Linked DNA regions of Canis lupus familiaris. The protein of the gene in region 1 purifies or fractionates together with the protein of each later gene. This does not show direct contact. Links are inferred from orthologs where the notes say so. Each region holds a gene or a part of one and is shown in the gene's direction. Other genes may lie near its edges. The genes, in order: DUSP10 and MAPK9.

What was found.
Region 2: the proteins of DUSP10 (region 1) and MAPK9 purify together in Homo sapiens (affinity purification with mass spectrometry; 3 studies listed by BioGRID and IntAct, with this or other methods). This does not show direct contact. The link is inferred for Canis lupus familiaris from reciprocal best matches to the Homo sapiens genes DUSP10 and MAPK9.

Annotation. Positions count from the first base shown.
Region 1 is NC_049259.1:16,923,826-16,930,737, reverse strand, and holds the start of DUSP10 (dual specificity protein phosphatase 10), read left to right. Parts: upstream 1-2,637; 5' UTR 2,638-2,796; intron 2,797-5,033; 5' UTR 5,034-5,073; coding exon 5,074-5,884; intron 5,885-6,912. UniProt on the Homo sapiens protein: Protein phosphatase involved in the inactivation of MAP kinases. Has a specificity for the MAPK11/MAPK12/MAPK13/MAPK14 subfamily. It preferably dephosphorylates p38.
Region 2 is NC_049232.1:1,734,860-1,741,177, forward strand, and holds part of MAPK9 (mitogen-activated protein kinase 9), read left to right. Parts: intron 1-1,025; coding exon 1,026-1,150; intron 1,151-2,215; coding exon 2,216-2,279; intron 2,280-3,290; coding exon 3,291-3,362; intron 3,363-5,029; coding exon of another isoform or gene 5,030-5,034; coding exon 5,035-5,177; 3' UTR 5,178-6,318. UniProt on the Homo sapiens protein: Serine/threonine-protein kinase involved in various processes such as cell proliferation, differentiation, migration, transformation and programmed cell death.

The DNA of each region.
Region 1 (6,912 bases):
CTCAGAAGTGTAGCAACTGAAAAAAATATCCATCTGTAATTTGTTTTCTACCACTCTATGATTTGAACATAAGTTATACCTTTAGAGATGCTTAATTAACAAAAAATTACATGTTTATATATGTTAATGATCTGGTAATTTTTCCATGTTTCACGTTTGATAAATGATGAGGAATGTTGCCATTTTTCCTAATTTTTCAGCTTGGATGGCTTCGACTCTTAGTCAACTAAATTATGATAACCCACTAGCTTGAAAGCATAATAAAATAATCATCTCATTAAATGAGTTAAATTTGTTTCTCAAGTGACATTCCCCTCCTGGGTCTGTGGGAAAGCTGTTATAAACTCTTCTGCAATTGTATAAATCCCTACTTTGTTTGGGCTTAGATAGTGAAGCATTAGCCATGAATTCATAATCTAGAGATCACAAGTGCTTTTACACAGAGGCACCCAGTTTCTGGAAGCAAGGACAATGCTTTTTGACTGAATGCCTTTTATCAGCAGCGTCATCATGGTGTCCCCTCCCGACCCCCCCCCCCCCCCCACACACACACACACCAGGACTTTTCCCTTTTTCTTCTGGGCTGGGTGTTACCATTTTGCAGATAAATGAACAATGTCTCTGGATGAACAGACACTACAGATGAGAGTCAGAATCAGGATTTATCTCCAGAATTTTCTAATCCCGAATTAGTGAACATTTTTTCGATAATTTTCTATGGTTAGGGAAAGGCAAGCTATTAAAGCTCCAAATAGACCCAGGGTACACCCTCTGGGAACTTCTTTTCTGGTTTCTATGAAATTACTCAGATTCCAAATTATTCCTTGGCCAGGGCCTACTGATGATCCGCAAGGCATTTGGACCAAAGGCTGTGTCCTAAGTACTCATTAGTTATCATTAAGGAAGGGAACGTGGATGTGCATTGGTGTGTGAACGCAGAAGGGGCTCCCCAAAACCCTTTCCTTTTTTAAAGATGATTGTATGCATTTCCTGCACGTGGAAAACACGGGTGCGGAAGCTGAACTGTGTATGTGCATGCACATGTGTAAAAAAGTATACATACCCCCTCCCTCCCCAACAGAAGGGGATTTCTCTTAGTAGCTCTTTGAGCGTGGCCATCCTTTGGCAACTCCTGATTTCAGATCTGCACTTAAAGCAATTATACGAATATGTCGCTGCCACTTAGCTTACTTACTCAGACAGGCGTGGAGCCCGAAGCATGTCTCCAAACACCTTCAATCTAGTAAGAGAGAAAACTCATAGCCGAGTATCCTATAGTGCTCCTCATGTAAGACTCTACTGTCCTTATCAAACTCCTTTGCGCCTGCAGGCGAGGGAAGAGGAAAAAGCTCTTATTTCTTTAGGGTCCTTTGATGCAGGCTCCCCGCAGGTAGCATCTCCACCCCTCTGCGTACCCCAAGACAACTTTCCCGCAGTTTCTCTGAGATTTTCCAGGCGCAAGCCAGCCTGCCTCGCCCCCACCCCCGCCCCACCCCCAGGCTCTTCCTCGGGAAAAAAAAGTCTGGAAAACCCAGAGCGGCGGCGCCGCCCCGTCGACCTGGGCGGGTGGTTTACCCTCCGCTCCGGCTGCTTCTCCGCCCGCGGCGGTGTCCCAGGAGCGCGGGGCCCGCGGGCCTGCGTTCGCCCCGGGGCCGCGCTGGGGGGCGGGGACCCTGCGCGCACGGCGAGCCCCGCGACCGCCCGGCTACTGCGCGCGCTCCCTGCAGCTTCTGGCCGGGCCCCAGGCCGCCGCCTCTGAGCAGCCCTCCGGGCGGCGGGCCGAGCCCCGGGAGGCCGGCGGGGTCGGCGGGGGCGTGACCGCGCGCAGCTGCAGGCGGGCCGGAGCGCGCCGCTGCCGCGCGGGGTGGCACCCGGAGGGGCAGCGACATCTGCGGGCGGAGGACGCGGGGAGCAGCGCGGCTGGGCGGGCCCGGCTTCCCGGCCCCCGGCGCCCCCAGCGCGTGGTGGGCGCTCGCGGGGCCCCGGTGCAGGAGCGGCTCCCGGGCTGCGCGCTCCCGCCGCTCCCGCCGCTCCCGCCGCTCCCGCCGCTCCCGCCGCTCCCGCCGCTCCCGCCGCAGGCTGCCCGGCGACGGCCGCGGATCTCGGGTTAGGGTCTGTCGAAGCACCTGGAGCGCCTGGGCGAGCCGGCTCCCCGCCGGGGACGGAGACTGCTCGCGGGGCCCGCCCTCGGAAAGTTACTCCGACTCTTCCGATCCTTGGTCCCGAGTAGGAGGGAAAGAGAAGACGCGATCCGCACCCCCGGGGCAGGGGCACGCGGGGGGCTCCGGGCCCAGGGACCCAGCCGGTTTGAGCCGGAGCAGCGATCCGGCCCATTGACACTTCGGCCCCGGAAAGGGTTAACTGCATCCAGCCGGTTCGGTTTACATGTAAATAGAGAGCAGCTGCTCCGCGCGGGCCCCGGCTGGCCCTTTTAAGTTTTTGATTGGTTGCCAATGACATCACCGCCCGCGTTCTAACACCGAGGACCCGGAGCGGCGTCGGATAAGCCCTCCTTAAAGAGACGAGGCCCCGCCCCCGGCCCCGCCCCGCCCGCTGCCCATTGGCCGCGGGCCGCGGCGAGGTAGCGGTCGGCTTTCTCCGGCTTCCTATTGGCCCGACGTGCCGTCGCTCGGCAGCCGGCCCGCCCCCTCAGAACCTTACATTTACAGTGTAGCAAAAGAGAAAGTAACTATGTTGCTGCTGGAGATCAATGAAGCCAAGTGAATGGGGGCTGAATGGGCGAATCCTTAGCTGAAGCGGAGCGCCAGATGGTGGAGGGCTACACTTATTTATGAAGTAAGTGGAAGTCAGCGCGGCTCCTCTGGAGAGCCTGGGAGTGTAAGGCGGTGTGAGTGTGAGTGTGAGTGTGAGTGTGTGTGTGTGTGTGATGCGATGCTCACGGGGGAGCCGCAGCAGGTGAGGGTATAGGGTTCCTGCTGTTGGCTCACGCTGCCCTGTGCGTTGACTCTCTCCGCAGTCGACTTGGATTTGGGGAGAAGAAAGAAAATGAGGTTTGTTGGGATGCTTTGCGGCAGTTTTAAATGCCAGGGGCTTGTTAGTGCGCTGTGTTGCGAAGGGGGATGAGCGCCCAGGAGTGGGGAAGTAGCATTCTCTAACGACTTAATTTTCTTTCCAGCCCCTGCCTAAGAGGTGGAAGGACGGCCAGCAAGGGAGAGGGGGCAGCTTAGTGTTTCTCTGGGAGGTTTCCTGGGCCGGTCTGGATGCTTTCATGGGCAATATAGACGCCCGACCCTCTGCTGCAGGGATGCAGATCTCTTTCTACACTCCGGCGTGTGTGTGTGTGTGTGTGTGTGTGTGTGTGTGTGTGTGTGTGTGTGAGCCGCGCACTCCGCGTAGAGGTGGGGGTCCCAGCCTGTGTCTCCATGAACACGCTTATGCGTCCCTCACCAAGGAAATGGGCTGTTGATCCTGGGACATACCCTACCTGGTAACACAATAGCAGAGACTTTCACCGCTTGGTCCAGCTGGGAAACAGTTCTAGCTTCTGGAATAGTACTTGCTCTTCAAAAAAAAAAAAAAAAAAAAATACTACGCAAAGGAGGGAGGGAGAGTGGGAGGGCCGGAGGGCCAGGGATGAACCCTTCTCTCCCATCCAAAAGTGGAGGAGAGAAACCTGAGTCGGTGGGGATCTGGGAACAAGTCGGGTGCGTGTCTCTGTGTGTCTGCGTGTGTGTGTGTGCGCGCCCGCGTGTGGACTCTGCCTGTGACACTTTGGCTCGGTGTCAGAGAATGGTGACGGTCGTGTGTAGACGGATGATAGATGACATTTTTCCAGACATCTCTTAAAGTTCCTTTAGACGAGCGGCTCTTGCATGGGGTTTGGTTTCTTTTCTCGGTGCGTGTCTAATAGAAAAGGAGCTGGTAGGGTCGGGTGGTAGAGTGCCCCTGTGCCTATGGAAGGAGGGAACTGGTCCTTTGCAGGCTCCCTCTCCTGAGGCAGGAGGTGGACCCTGTGGGCAACACTTCACTGCCCCCTTTAACAGGGACCGGCTCATTGGGAAGTCCTTTCTACGGAATTCATCCTCTTGGAGGGGCGGGGGTCTATCTGTGGGGGATTGAGATCTTATCCACGGGGCTGCCTCCCATCCCTCTGGGATGCCCGGCCTCTGTCAGCAGGGAAACGAAGGAGGTAGCAGAGTCGATGTGGTCCTTTCCTTAAAGGCAGGAGTGTGTGTATGTGTTTGTGTGTGTTTGGGGGGGGGGGGGGATGAGGTGGGCAGCAAAGGGCGATGGGTCTGCCAGGGTTGGGGGTTACCAGCCTGGCTCCTTAGCCTGAGGCTTTGTTTCAGGACATTTCGTTTGTAACAAAAGGGGAAATGCAGAATTAATTTATAAGAGACTAACAGGAAACACGGGAGGTTTTCATATGACTCTGTCGTGCTTTTCAAAGGAATGCAAAGCAAGAATAGCTCCCCGTTCAAGAGATTCACTTAGGGGGATACTCTCATTCTGATTTGCAGAAAGTTGCCATCCGCCCCTGATGTATATTTAGCTGCTGTATATTTTGGTGAGCCGGGCCAGCGCTCTTGGTCATTCCTTTGCCTTTGCAGTGAGTGAAGGAATTAAACGGAAAGTATGCACGGGTGGACAAGTGGGTCTTGCTCAGACGGTTGCACTATGCTTCTGCCCAGGAGGTGAGGCCCAGAATAGATGCCTCTTAGGAGCCTTCTTTTCTGTCTTCGGCTTTTCCCATTCTTTGTGCTTGTCCTTTCTCCAAGGCTGAGCTTCCACGTAGTACGTCCGTGAGAAGGTGGTTCATCAACTGTGTGGGCTGTACGTGTAACCTTGGACTTAGTGACCAAAGAGGAGGGGGGCCCTCGGGTTGACATCCTCTTGGAATCTGTAAAAAAAAAAAAAAAAAAAATGAGTTTCGGGCTTGGAGAGCGGCTTGATAAAGGGCCCTTAGGACAACTTCACTCAGAGGGATGCAAAGGCCTTTCCTAGGGTTTGGATCAGACTGCCTTGTGTGTCACATGACTTTATTCTTTCTTTCCCCCTCCCCTTCTTTACAGACTGTCTTGAGTTCTTCAGTTGCCAGTTTTCAGCCTCCTCATGCCTCCGTCTCCTTTAGACGACAGGGTAGTAGTGGCACTGTCTAGGCCCGTCCGACCTCAGGATCTCAACCTTTGTTTAGACTCTAGCTACCTTGGCTCGGCCACCCCGGGCAGTGACAGCCCCCCTCCCGTCATTGCGACCACCGTCGTATCCCTCAAGGCTGCGAATCTGACGTATATGCCCTCATCCAGCGGCTCTGCCCGCGCCCTGAATTGTGGATGCAGCACTGCCAGCTGCTGTACTGTGGCAACCTACGACAAGGACAATCAGGCCCAAACCCAAGCCATCGCCGCTGGCACCGCCACCACCGCCCTCGGAACCTCTGCCACCTGCCCTGCCAACCAGATGGTCAACAACACTGACAGTGCAGGCCCTTTAAGTCCATCAGGTGGGGTGGGCAGCCCCGTGGCAGGGACCCCCAAGCAGCTAGCCAGCATCAAAATAATCTACCCCAATGACTTGGCGAAGAAGATGACCAAATGCAGCAAGAGTCCCCTGCCGAGCCAGGGCCCTGTCATCATTGACTGCAGGCCCTTCATGGAGTATAACAAGAGTCACATCCAAGGAGCTGTCCACATTAATTGTGCCGATAAGATCAGCCGGCGGAGACTGCAGCAGGGCAAGATCACGGTTCTAGACTTGATTTCCTGTAGGGAAGGCAAGGACTCTTTCAAGAGGATCTTTTCCAAAGAAATTATAGTTTATGATGAGAATACCAATGAGCCGAGCCGAGTGATGCCCTCCCAGCCACTCCACATAGTCCTCGAGTCCCTGAAGAGAGAAGGCAAGGAACCTCTGGTGTTGAAAGGTAATGCCCCTGTTCCCTTCCCAAGCACAGTCCTGGTTAGCCCGGGTTCACTTTGGGTTCTGTTCTAGAAATGCCAGCGCTCTCCTTACCCTGGCGGCACGAGACCAGTCCAGAACTTTCTTCTTCTCGCCTTCCCTTCTTTGCCCTTAACTGTTTTTGCTGTAGTGAGAAAAAAACAGTCACGTTGAACCCAAAGCCGGAAGACCTGGGTTCTAGTCTCGAGTCAGCGTCTTGTTTGCCCTGCGCCAGCCTTCCACCTCTCTGAGACCGTTGTTGGGCCTTTTGGAGAGGCGGTGTACCGCCAGACGGTATCTCAAGCCATAGCTGGTCTGGTGGCTCTGTTCCAATCAATAACCGGTTGGAAAGTTATTGTGTCTCAGATTTCACCAAAGTTGATGGAGCGGAGGAAGCAGCAATTATGGTGAACGACAAGTAAACCTCCAGGTACCAGTGCTTTTTATGGGAAATCGTCTTTCGCACCTCTCTGACCAGCTTGGCTTTTATTTGGTTTGTAAAGTGACCGTCAAGGAGGGTGGAGATCCCTAGTGTAAGGCCCCACAAAAAGCGTTAAGTGTACATCTGTTCCTCTGCCAGAGCTCCAAGGGGACAGAGACATTTTTATGAAATACTCCGCAACCCGCTGTTCTTTCTGGCCTCATCTGACAACCACTGGGCATCATGGCTCCTCCCACGATGGGGTGGTAGGTCACTTGTCCCCCTACGATGAATGCAGAATAACTCTAATGTCAGTGTTCCTGAGCCCTGGGGGGAAGAATTAATTACCCCCGTTTTCAGAGCACCTTCCACACAGTGTTGCCTAACACAGCAGGGGAGCCTTCATCTGGTGTCTCTCAGACTTGCTCCTCTTTGTCCTCAGCTATTGTCCTTTGGAGCACTACACACCACTCTTTCTCTCTGCTCTCTTCTGTCCTTTGATGGTAGCTAGAGTCATCGTCTCTCTCTTCTTCTCTTGTGTTTTGAGCTAAGGTATGCAGCTTCCAGGCCACATCACCACCAAGTCTCCTAAA
Region 2 (6,318 bases), on another chromosome or scaffold:
TCTGAAAAACTCATGTTAATTATAGCAATTGGAATTCACACAGTTTTCAGGTCCATGGAACACTTGAATTAAGATTCTAGCCCATAATTGATTAAAAAAAAAAAAGTGGGTGCCTCAGTGGCTCAGTGGTTGACCATCTGCCTTTGGTCAGGTTGTGATCCTGGGATCAAGTCCCAGATTGGCCTCCCCACAGGGAGCCTGCTTCTCCCTCTACCTACTTCTTTGCCTCTTTCTCTGTGTCTTTCATGAATAAATAAATAAAATCTTTAAAAAAAAAAAAAAAAAAAGCTGCTTCTCCCTTTCTCCTGTGCCCGTCACCAAAAACATGATTTAAAAGAATAAATTTCTCTCCACATCAGGGTAAACTGCCTCGGTCAGAAAAGCTCTGTCTCTCCTTTGCCTACCCATGTGAACTTTAATTGCCTAAACCTATGTGAGCCTTACATTTGACTAAGTTACTGAGCTTGTTGGTTTTTTTCTAGCAACTAACCTCTAGATTTTTTTTTAAGTGTCTGTTTCCAACATTATATATAGCTGTGGTCATAGCGGAGGTATCTGTAAAGTATTCTATGGTGTGCAAATGTGAGATTGTTTTATGGCTTAAAAAGCCTGTTCTAATTTTGTTTTGATGGGCCATCAAGAGAAAAGCCTTGCTCATGCTCTGTGCCTGCACTCCAGGCAGCGCCATCCTTATCTCAGCTCCCCTGCCTGCCCTGGTGGCAGCATTCCCCGGGCACCATGTCAGCCTCTGGCTGGCCTGTGTCCACCTGGTACCCTTTTCCCAGGCCCTGCCACTCCTCCCCTCCCAGTTCCAGAGGCAAGAAACCTGAGTTGGAAGACCAGATTTGTAGTGAAAGTGCCTCCTTGGCTTATTCTTAAAGAAAAAGCCTCAGCTGATCCAGAACCTATCAAAAATGTCAAGTTTTAATACATCTTTGTTCTATCTGTACTGTCACATTTTCTCTGTGATTTTCTATGTTTCAGCATTAATTTATTAATTAATCTGATATTTGTTTTCATCCTAGCGAGTCAAGCCAGAGATTTGTTGTCAAAAATGTTAGTGATAGATCCTGACAAGCGGATCTCTGTAGATGAAGCTTTACGTCACCCTTACATTACTGTTTGGTATGACCCTGCTGAAGCTGAAGCGGTAAGCATCTGTTTCGGAAAGACTCGTGTGTAAAGGCAGGGAGTCCGCTTCCTTGGATCTTCTGTCGTTCCAGAATGGCCTCAGTAAGGATAGCAAGTTCTAGATTTCAGAGGACTCCCGAATACAAAGAGGCCAGGGGTTGTCCAAGACCTGGCCTGCTTCTGGGACCTTTGCTCTGGGGCTGTCGCTCAGTGTACTTTAGGGGTGGACATGCTTCTGCTGTGGTGATAGCATTGTCTTCCTTTATGCAGATGCTGATGTATGAGTGTAATAACACGGTTTACTAAGCCTCCATCGTGTACCTGGCAAGGTGCCATGTGCTTTGCCTATAACACCTTGGTTAAGCCACCCCCTCAGAGAGGCTTAAGAAACTTGCTGAAAAGCACAAGTTTATTTATCCTTTCCCAGAGGCACTTGCTGGGCGAGTTCCACTTCCGAGCTCAGTGTTCAGGCGCATTTTCCCTTAGCAGCACCAGCATGGGTGATCTCTGGCTGTAAGCGAGATAACTGGCATAGGGGTGGGCTCATTTTAGGGCTGGCCTGTAGATTTTTTTTTTTTTTTTTTAGTTTTTTTTTTTTTTTTTTTGGCCTGTAGATTTAACCACCACAGAAACATAACGTTTCATATGAAAGTCCCATTTATAATAAGCATGTGATTTTTAAGGAAATTTTTGGGATGGCCCAATGTGAGCTGCGGATTGGGTACAGGGGCTCTAACATGAACTGTAAACCTGAGCTGGCATGTCCTTATCCAGGACTGGTCTCTAGGAAGTGGCTCAAATTACTGATTTTATAGTTACATTTGGACAGATGCCTTTAGGGTGTCTTGAGGTCATGTTATAATTAAGAGGACCATAATAGCTCCATTTTGGGGGGGGCTAATTTCCCTCTAATTATTTTGATTCTGAAAATGATGTAATATCACACTTATAAAGAAATCTTTAAAAAGCTACATATGAAATGAAAGCCACATGATACATAGATTAGACTCTCCCTGGTGATTTTAGTGTCTTCATGCCTCGTTATGGTTTTAACTGTTGACTTCATATGTAATTTAATTTTCAGCCACCACCTCAGATTTACGATGCCCAGTTGGAAGAAAGAGAGCATGCAATTGAAGAGTGGAAAGGTAAAGAACAGAGCTGATTTTGCCACTCGCTTGCGGCACTTTACTCTCAGCAGTAGCCTTCCTAGGGTAGGAGCTAGGGACCATGCAGCCCCTCTCAGCCCATCTCTTCACAATCCCTAGCACAGAAGAAACTTGCAGATAACAATTAGTGAGGAGCAGGTATGGATTGCATATTGTTTGCTTCTGAAGACTGTAAGATAAACCAAACAACCCACAATAAACTAAACCCATAATCAGGAGGTCAAATAACAATTTTCCATTAAGAAGCAGAATCAGTAGTAGTTGAGAACCATGGTCAGTGCAGGTCAAAGGTGGCAATGTGCCCTGCCCAAGCAGATAATGTTTCCTTGCTCCGGGGCGTCCAGAGTGCCATGACCTGCATGAACACATGCTCAGCAGGCCGACACACACAGGCACAGCCTGTGGCCAACGGTTGGCTCATAGGCCTCCAGAAATGTTTGCAGTGTTCTCATCTTGATTCACAAAGGCCAAAATTTTAAGAACCCCTAATGCTTCCTTAGTATGTTGTTAGCTTTTCTCACAAATCAGAATCAAGGAAATGGAGGTTGAAGCCAAGAAATGACTGAGGAACTTGGATTAATTTCTGGCCAGTCTGGAGGGGCTTCTCACCCATAGATAGATATCAGTTCCTTTTGGAGAATCCCAAGTAACAATGGAGAGAAACATGTGCAAACAGTGTGAAAGCATCCAGTACTCTGAAATGCTCTGTGAGAGCCCTTTTGCTGGTCTCCAGCCCCTTATAAAACCCCCTGTGGGTTCAGAACTGCCTACGTTTTTGGCTGCCCTAACAGTTGAGTTAAAGACGTGGGTGTTTTGGTTTTTGTAGGTGATACTATTGAGTTAACCAGATGATATTATTGAATTAACTGTATACCATAATTAAAAATAAGGCATCACAGTGCCCTTGGAGTGGTTCTGATTGATTAGAAAGCAGGGTTCAGAGACACAAAGAAACTGATGAAGCCTTTTAACTTGCATTTCCATTTGAAGAACTGATTTATAAAGAAGTGCTGGATTGGGAAGAAAGAAGCAAGAATGGTGTTGTGAAAGATCAGCCTTCAGGTTAGTGATTGCTTTAATAGTTTGATCTTAGCACCCCCTCAACCCCATTTCCAAACTGGTAGCAGTGCGCTAAATGCTGGCTTGACCAGCACTGGGCCTGAAAGCTCCCCGAGGTAGATGGTCTTCCTGTCTCAGTGTGTCGTGGTAGCAGCAGCTAACGGGTTACTGATGTAACAGGCACTAAACTGTGTTATAGACATCCCTGCTCTGCACTTGTCCCTGCTGCTGTCAGCTCAGTTTACAGATGAGGGAGCTGATTTAAAATGTTACCAATTTGTGTGACCCTCTTTGTACCACCACACACACACACACACACACACACACACACACACATACACACAGTGATTAAAGAAAATTAGCATGAATCTAAGCAAAATGGAATTTGGTTTTCTTTTGAGAAAATCATTCATGTGATTCTCCTGTATTTGTACTTGGTCTGCCTGGGAATCTGTTCACACCGTGTGACTGTTAGAGACCTAACACATGTGTCAGTAGGATCCCACCTGCTTCCTAAGTGAACTCCTTTGAGTTGTATTTATCTTCTCACTTCACATCCTCTGCCACCCCCCACCTCCACCCCCACAGGAGCACACGCACACAGAAGTGCAGATTGCACCGTGTACTCATTCTTGAATTTTATATTCAGCATGACATATGTGTCAAGCATCTAGAGATTATGTAACTTTAGCACAGATTTAGGTGCTGTGGTTAATCAGGCACAAATTTAAGAATGCAAGCACTGGCCTCCAAGAGCTCGACTGTTTTATTTTTGCTCAAACCAGCCTAAAATATGGACAGTCGGTAATGGCATGGTTTTGTGTACTTCAGAAATCAAAACATCAGTATTGGAAAAAAAAAAAAAAAAAAAAAAAAAAACATCAGTATTGGGGATGTAGAAAACAAAAATAAAATGAACAAGAGGCCACTAAATTTTTTCCTTTTTTTTTTGTTTGTATACAGTCTTTAACAGTTTTTTTTTTAATTTAAATTCAGTTAGCCAACATATAGTACATCATTAGTTTCAGATGTAGAGTTAATAATTCATCAGTTGCATACAACACCCAGTGCTTCATCACATCACGTGCCCTCCTTAATGTGTATCACCCAGTTACCCCATCCCCTCACCCACTTCCCCTCCAGCAACCCTCAGTTTTGTTTCCTAGAGTTAAGAGCCTCTTATGGTTTGTCTCCCTCTCTGATTTCTTTCCACTCCATTTATATTACAAAAGAATTCTTCAAAGGTTCCTGTTTTTTCCCTTGGACAAAGTGTTGATGATTATAGCTGAAATGTCTGATGACCGTTGAACCCTATTTGGGCTTCAGCCTTTTGTGACACCTATATTTGTAGGATAGATGCAGCAATTTTCTATTAATATCTTTTTTAAAGAAGCATATTTTTCAAACATTATACACATGCACAGATGTGATGTTTAGCCACTAGGAAGAAAAGGAGAATGTTGTAGGGACAGACAAGAAATTTTTGGAATACTGGACCCAAAGAGAGACTCCAGAAAAAGTTGGGCACGTGTAGCAGGCTCATGGGTTGTTAGTACGAGCAGTTAGGCTGGGGGGCCACAGAAGCATGGAGCTGAGAAAGGCCTCATGTCTCACTGCCCGAACCTGCAGCAGTGTCGTGCCTCAGATTTTATTATATTTGGTTTTCTTAGCACAGATGCAGCAGTAAGTAGCAATGCCACTCCTTCCCGGTCATCATCCATCAACGACATCTCATCCATGTCCACGGAGCAGACGCTGGCCTCAGACACAGACAGCAGCCTTGATGCCTCGACGGGACCCCTCGAAGGCTGCCGATGATAAGTCACAAGTAACAAGCTCGTCAACAGTGAAGGAGCTCTCGCTTCCATGGGCCTGAAATGCTTGGGGGTTGATGGAACCAAACAGAAAACTCCATGTTCTGCATGTAAGAAACACGATGCCTTGCCCCTACTCAGTTCTAATAGGATTGCCTGCCTAGATTCTACAACGAAGCAGATTATGTCTGGAGAAAACACGTGCAAGCCACACTCTTAGAGATTTTGTTCAAGGTCATTTCAGGTGAGCAATTAGAATAGACAATTTTTTTTTTAAGTTGTGCGGTCATAGTGACAATTTCTCATCCTCATAACTGTTGGGACTTACATGCATGTGACCACATGTGCTTGCTCAGACTTGCCATCTAGCACTTTGGAAATCAGTATTTAAATGCCAAATAATCTTCCAGGTAGTGCTGCTTCTAGAATGATCTCTTAATCCTCTCAAGTAATTTGGTGTCTGTCCAGAAAAAATAGATTTATGTGTTAATTGGCCACCATCATATTATCACGTCTTACCTTTTATGATACAATTTATTCTATCTTTTGTATTTCAGAAGGAATATAATTAAATCTATTTAATAAAAAAATACAACTTTTTTTTAAATTTTCATGTTTTGGGCTGAGAATTATCACTGCTGAAATCTAGACATTTATATGGACACTTTGTTTCCTCTAAATTGTCTGAATTTGGGATGAGTGTACATTCATCTTTATTGCATGATAAAATTTTAAGTTTTGTGCTGCCTAAGACAGATATACCTTTAAAATCCTAATCTACCCTCACTCATTTTTCCTGGTCTTCTGGACTTATTAATTTAAAATCCCACCTAAAACTTCGCCTTCTTGATCAGGCACCTAACACTTCATGTCAACAACACAATGGCAGATTCTCAAGTCCATTAGCGGTGAGAGTAGAATTTGACAAGACGGTCACTGAAGCTGACTGCGGTGACTTCCTGAGCGCTTGCTTTCCCCAAGCCTGGTCAGGGTCATTCCCTCATTCCTGGGGAGGTGCACCATCTCCCAGGACAGCGTTTCCAATTTCCAACCTAATGTTCTTATTTGGCTTTTCTTTCTTTGCTGAAAGAAGCCACATAACCCCATCCATCCACCCCCAACCTCCCCACACTTGGATCTGTTCG